2 linked regions of the Yarrowia lipolytica genome follow. The protein of the gene in region 2 purifies or fractionates together with the protein of the main gene of each other region. This does not show direct contact. Links are inferred from orthologs where the notes say so. Each region holds a gene or a part of one and is shown on either strand. Other genes may lie near its edges.

What was found. The genes of interacting proteins can lie anywhere in the genome.
Region 1: the proteins of YALI1_C06870g (region 2) and YALI1_B29977g purify together in Saccharomyces cerevisiae (affinity purification with western blotting; 10 studies listed by BioGRID, with this or other methods). This does not show direct contact. The link is inferred for Yarrowia lipolytica from reciprocal best matches to the Saccharomyces cerevisiae genes TAF6 and SPT15.

Annotation. Positions count from the first base shown.
Region 1 is NC_090771.1:2,995,872-2,999,078, reverse strand, and holds YALI1_B29977g (uncharacterized protein), read right to left. Parts: upstream 1,340-3,207; coding exon 656-1,339; downstream 1-655. Other genes in the region: YALI1_B29972g (uncharacterized protein), read left to right, coding at 1,835-3,207. UniProt on the Saccharomyces cerevisiae protein: General transcription factor that functions at the core of the DNA-binding general transcription factor complex TFIID. Binding of TFIID to a promoter (with or without TATA element) is the initial step in preinitiation complex (PIC) formation.
Region 2 is NC_090772.1:685,093-688,959, reverse strand, and holds YALI1_C06870g (uncharacterized protein), read left to right. Parts: upstream 1-1,874; coding exon 1,875-3,323; downstream 3,324-3,867. Other genes in the region: YALI1_C06917g (uncharacterized protein), read left to right, coding at 1-102.

The DNA.
Region 1 (3,207 bases), on a different chromosome or scaffold from region 2:
ATTGAAACGGGACCCCCGTCTCCGTGCCTCCTCGTTAATTGCAGCGCTGCTGACAGCGCACCTATTAAAGCTGTTTCAAGTGTGCATAAGGCTCAGCCTGGCAGTGCCACCTTCGCACCCACGAATAAGGTTTCCTTACACGCTAACACTGTAGAAAATAGACACGCTAAAACTCTGGCTTCAGGCTGTACAATGTGTATCCACAGTACTGTACAAGCACAAGTGCCAATATTAGTAAGAGTACAAGGAGTTTGATACCTACCGGTAAAAGTACACCTGTTGTAGACAGTGCTGTACTCCTACAAGTACGTCTGTACTTGTACAGCCCTTACTTACTCAGCAGATAGAGCCAACAACATGACGGCATTAAACGACAACACCACGCCTCTCTCAGAACACGTCAATCCTCCAGCTGTTCAAAAGGGAGAACACAATTCTAGCTACACTTGTACTTGTACTGTACTTGTACAGATATGAATGGGTGGTTTTTCCGTTTTTTTGTTTTTTTTTTGGATTATGTGGTTTTGGTGATATGCTATGTTAATTTTTCTTGTGAAGTACCTCTTTTACCTTGAAGCTCCCGTTAGTCCCTCGGCTTACCTCGTATCATTAGTATTTTATTTCGCCGAGAACCAGCGTCTATGCAATAAATAATCTACCCCTTTCTAAACTCGTTCAACACAGGGTAGATGGCTTCGAAGGCCGCGTAAATTTCCTCTCGCTGCTTGGCACCAGTCAGCACAATCTTACCCGACACGAAGATCAGCAACACAATCTTGGGCTTAACCATTCGGTAGATGAGACCAGGGAACAACTCAGGCTCGTACGACGAGAAAGTACCGTGTGAAAATGCAAGACCCTCAAGTCGGATAGGGAACTTGACATCGCACGAACCGACAATGTTCTGGATTTTGAAGTCAGTGAACTTGGCATTGAATCCAAGTTTCTGAATGATTCGGGCGTACTTCCGGCTGGCCAGCTTGGAGTCATCCTCGCTTCGGGCACCAGTTACGACCATCTTTCCGGATGCGAAGATCAAAGCGGTGGTCTTGGGCTCTCGAATACGCATAATGACGGCAGCGAAACGCTTGGGGTTGTACTCGGCATTTCGAGCATGCAATGCAATGGTTTTCAGATCAAGCCGACAATCCAGGTTGACGGTCGCAACAATGTTCTGTAGTGTGGGGACGATACCGGAGACACCAGAGTCGACCTGCTCTCGCTTGACCTCTCCAATCAGACTGGTGTCGGCCTCGGCATCCTGAGGGAACGAGAGATTGTTCTGGGTCACGAATTGCTGTGCCTGTGCAGGGTTGGTGGGGGCAGAGAGGGCATCCATATTGTATGTAGTGTGTATCCCAAACCCAAAGCCTAATTTTCGAAATTGGGAAATCGGGGGGACGCGGTCTTATATATATTCACGATCCTTCGGTAGGGTAAAAACCTTAAATGGTGTAGAAGACCATCGAAATTGGTTCTGTTCCTTAAAAATACATCATTCGCGGGGTTCTATTTTCTGGGAAAATAACAGAATAATGCACTCATATTTAGCCAGAACTACTTGTGTGCATTTCCTACCTCTAGAGGTCTTGTTTCGAGCCATCTGCCTCACTACACCTCTGCAGAAAAATTTCGACAGAGTTTTGGATGAAAACTTGATTACATGCCTGGAATTGGAAATATACGGTTAGGGCTGTTGAGTCTCACACCGATTACGAACTAAAAATAAAAAAAATCATTCTGGTCATGTGTGCTTGTAGGAGCGATAGCGCACATTTATGTCGCATAATATATATTTTTTAACGCACAGCTGGGTCCAAAAGTTACGAGCAAAATGGTCGGAGGGGGTTATACCTTTGTACTGCCTTGTTTATTGGTATCCACAGCACATGTCTGGTGCTCGGTAAGCCAAGGACACTGTACTTCGTTATCCAACTCTATTCATGCAAAGGAACTCCCACTGTTCTCGACCAGCATGGGGCCTCACAGCTTGTCCTTTGATCGTCCTTCCGACCTCAGCCCAGAATGTCGAGACCTGATCATCTATCTCGCTCATGAGCATCTTTTACAGGCCTCGATTGTGGCGCCTCTGGTTAAAACTCGCGAACACTTGGTACAGTACCGCCAGATGCTAGCCACAGGTATTCAGATGCTTGAGACAGTGATCCGCGACGCCAACTGCCCTCAGAGTACTCAAGCATACTCGGCATACATTCTTGCTCAGGTTCTCTTCAGCGAGACTGAGTGTCTGGACCGTGTGGTGTCTGTGCTAGGTCAGGGAATGATTCTTGCTCAACGAAGTGGCTTATCTGATCTGGTGCTACAGATGGAGTGTCTCAATGTGAGAGCTCTGTGTAAGACCAGCAGAAATGCTGCTCTCCTCCACTGCAACAAATGCCTCGATAAGTACCAGGGCATGTACGACAACTATGCATACCACACTCTCCAGTTGCTACGCTTTGATCTGACCCTTGACAACAGTTTGCCACAGGCTTTTGACATTTTCAAGTCCTGGGAGACCCTTCCAGACAGTATACCCAAGTCATTCCTGCAACTGTACGGTATTTCAAAGGCATTAGACTACAATGTTGGCAACTACGAAGAGACTCTACTCACCTTAGATCACATGAGAGCATTTGAGGAGGCTTCAGAGTGCACTGAGACAATCCCCCAGGTGGCCATGCTTCGATGCATGATGACTGTGTTGGTGGCTCTGCGTAGAGACTGTGACATCCCCGTTAAGGAGGCCAGCAAGGCGCTGGAAACGCTGCTTCGGTCCTTGAACAGAAAGGCCAGCAAGAGGGAGATGGTGTGGAAGAACTGGAACATTGATGGAACCATCAAGTTGGCCGGAGCTCGGGGAAGTACATTCAACATTCAGTGGGTCACACAAAGCCAGTGTACCCAGTATTGCTATTATCTTCTAGGACTGGCCGCACTTCGACACCACACGACTTTAAAGTATGGACGTGAACTACTAAAGGACTGCCTCAAGCTGTTGGACCGTGATCAGGAGGATATACCCAAGGAGCCTTTGCCGCGTGCCAGTATATCGCACATATCAGACAACACAGCGCAGAAGCTAGCACTCAGATGCAATGTCCATCTGTACATTGCTCTGGTGAATTTCAGTGGCTTGGCATACAAGAAGGGCCACCGTTCGTTTGAACGGTTTGTGACCCTTTCCAAGGGTCTACCTGAAGAAGC
Region 2 (3,867 bases):
CTCATTGAGGGTACCAGTGAGCGGGCGGTGAAACTGGCTCATCATGAGTTGTCGGAGCTTCTGGTGAGTGGTTTGGTTAAGGGCGCTAGGTATCAGGTGTAGACGATACCAAGGGGGGGTCAAACTTTGTAGGACCGAGTATGGAATGGTCCATGTACGAGTAGGAAGATGTATATATTATAACGATTGACGAATGAAGCGGTTGAGAGGCAGAAAGTATTCCACTTGTTCCAGTATCTACGGTACAATAACTAAGGAGTAACCATTAGTTCTCAGTCAGACTTGGCTATGGTGTCATGGTGTACACACTATTGGACTGTTGCTGAGTTTTCATTTGGAGATCTCTCAGGAGCTGGATCTTTTCTCATGCTCTCGTTGTATAACGATGTTTCAACCTGAACCCCGTTATCACCACCCTTCACCATTGCACCCCACCAATCGTTAAAATAATACATTCCTATATAATCCTTCTAGTCTCAGATGGCGCGTAACCATCCACATGAGTCGTCCTAGCCCCTTGTTGTTATTGTTGAGTCGTTGAGCATCTCTCCACAAGAAAGCATCGTGGAGACAATGTAGCCGCAGACAACACAATGGCAACACTGCAGAATCTCGGGAATCACAGTAATCACATGAGTCGCCCACTAATCATAAATCAATGGCTCCTCGACTTTCTCTGTCTTCATCAATTCGGTCCGGTTCTTAGCCTTCTCCTTGGCCAGCTGCTGACTGAGTTTGCCACCCTTATTCTGGCCCTGGGCCCGGGCCTCTGCGGCGCGTGCGGCGGCCTCCTTGGCGTCCAGCGTTTCGGCTGTGCCTCCCAGAGTGTGTCCTGGCGAGTTGTATGTGTTTGTTGGCTGTTTGGGCGGTTGTTTCTTGAGTGGGATGTTTTCCGTCTTTGCTGGTTTGGCAGGCTTAGCCGCTGGTGGTGCTCGTCCTGCGGTCCTGCCCGACGTGGACGCGGGCTCGCTCTTGCTGAAACACGAACCCATCGTTGTAGTCGGCGTCAAGTGTGTGTGGAGTGATGATGTGCGGGTTTAAGAGTGGAGTGCATGACCATGCGTGGAGGGGAATAGGGGTAGTTGCTGTGGGGGGGAGGAGGAGTGAGAGAAAAAAAGAGAAAAGTGCGATGGGAATAAAAGAGTGGTAAAAACTGACTGTATTTTTCAGAATTCAAATTGATGAAGATTTCGTCATGTTTGAAACACCTGATGATTTCGATAGAGCAGCCCATTGAACCTTGATAGTGGCATTTGAAATGAGTGTAGAAAAGGCAGTGGTGGACTTATAGATCCAGGAACTAAAAATATACATCAATGGTAGTTAGTTTTACAGATTTATCTATGTAGAAATGTGATATGACCAGAATTTCAAGAGATATTGACACTCTCTACTTACTTGACAGGAGGTTAATATTTCAACTATTTCAGAGGCTATTGTTGAAACTTTCAAGTATAACAATAGCTCGAAAGAGTGCATTGTTCTTGCTCCATTTTCAACAGATTTAAATGAAATTAAAAAGGAGAGTATTTTAATTCTGGTGAAAGTCAAATACATGTCTAATATTACAATAGGAGCCATTACTCCTGGACTTTTGGCTACCCCAAAACCAACTCTTCGTGCAAAAATTAAGGTTCCATGACTACCTTATACAACGCCCTCATAACCACTCTTTAATTCTCTTTTTTGACAGATATTTCTTTTGACGAGCAACTCACAAACTTCCTTAGCTGATTCCATCTACTTACCGTCGATATACCGCTCTCACAACCCCCCGATATCGCAGAAGACAAACTCCCCATCAACACTTTCCAAACTCTAATTCCAACCTCCATCATCACAAGGTCAATATCACCACTTGCAACCCACACAACATGTCCATCAACTTTTCCCACACCCTGTGGTCTCCCAGTGACACGGTCAAAGACGTGGCCGAGACTCTGGGCATCTCCAATCTGCCCGATGACGTGGCCAAAACGCTTGCCATGGACGTGGAATACCGAATCCACGAGGTGATTGAACAGGCGCTCAAGTTCATGCGACACTCGAAACGAACGACTCTGGGGACCTCCGACGTGGGCGAGGCTCTTCGAGCGCTCAACGTGGAGCCCCTTTACGGCTACGAGGGCGTGGCCAACGAAAAAAGCGTGTCTTACAGAGAAGCCATCACCGGACCAGGACAAACGCTGTACTATGTGGATGACGATGAGGTGGACTTTGAACGGCTCATCAACCAACCGCTGCCTAAGGTGCCTCGTGCCACATCACTGACAGCTCACTGGGTGGCGATCGATGGAGTGCAACCTGCCATCCCACAAAACCCCCTGGCCAGCGACATCAGAGCCATGAGTGTTGATCTGAGAGGCGCCCAGACCACCAACAACTCGATCGCCACCATCAACGGCTCGTCGGACGTCAAGGTGAAGCCTCTCGTCAAACATGTGCTGTCCAAGGAGCTGCAGCTGTACTTTGACCGTGTGGTGGGTGCACTTATGGACGGCTCGGAAGTGGTTGTCACTGCTACCGGAGACGAGAAGGAGGCTGCGGTCAAGCAACATGCGGCTGCTCTTTCTTCTCTGCGAAACGACCCCGGATTCCACCAGTTGGTGCCCTACTTTGTGCAGTTTGTGGCCGAAAAAGTCACACATAACCTCAAGAACCTGCCCGTGCTCTACACTATGCTGCAGGTAATTGACGCACTGCTGACTAACCCCACGCTGTTCATGGACCCCTACATTCACTCACTGATGCCCTCTGTGCTGACTTTGATTCTCGCGAAGAAGATTGGTCCCAAGCCCGGCCATGAGGACATTGTGGAGGACTCGCAGGTGACCATTTCTCAGTACTCGATTCGTGACTTTGCTGCATCTCTTCTGGCACGAATCTGCGACAAATACAACGAGATCTACGCTTCTCTCAAGCCCAGAGCCATCCGAACGCTACTCAAGGCATTCATGGACCCCACCAAGCCGATACCCACTCTCTATGGCGCTCTCCAGGGCATTCAGGCGCTTGGTAATGAGGCCGTTCGTGTGGTCATTGTAGGCAACCTGAAGCTGTGGAGTGATACACTTTACAACCGGCTGTTGAAGTCGTCGTCGGACTCTACTTTGGAGCTGGAGCAGCTCAACAAGTGTTTGATTTCGGCTCTGCGACAGATCAAGGGCCAGGCCATCTACCCCGATCAAGAGCTCACTGAGCAGGAGATTGATCGATGCAAGGAGCTGGTGGGAGACAAGGTGTATGAACTGATTGAGAAGCTGGACGATTCACAGCAGGTTGTTCATGGATTGGTGGATTTCGAGGGTAAGCAGGTGGAGTAATGGGTGGATAGCGAGCAAGAGAGAGAACTGCACGCGCATGGAAAAGGGGGACCCCAGTGTATAGATAGTTCTGAATGTATTTTTTATATGATCACGGTGGAGGAATATGAAGGATGGGTGTATACGACTATCTGTGAGTTCCTAGGGATTGTACTGTATGATCGTGCTACGAGCATTATAACCTTGATGAGATGGTCTAGTGGTTTTGTAGACCCGAATGTCGTAATTTCATGATATCGTACTTGTAGTTCAGCATGTGAGTAAGAGGAAGCCAGTTGGTCGAAATCGTATTTGGACTCTAGCTACTGTACATACCAACTAAAGCATAGTCCTTGATACTGTGTAGAAGGCTTTTTTGTCTTCTCTACGAAGCTACCAGTACATTCTTGACTTATAAACGGTGAGAACAGTGTTATCTAAACTTGTTTCAACATTGTCGACCAGATCTAGCCAAAATACGATCATAGAGCACGTGACTGTTTCAGCTCGGTGAGATTGATGAAGGGACCCCCGCCCATTCTGGTTACCTGTCTTCGATCTTGCT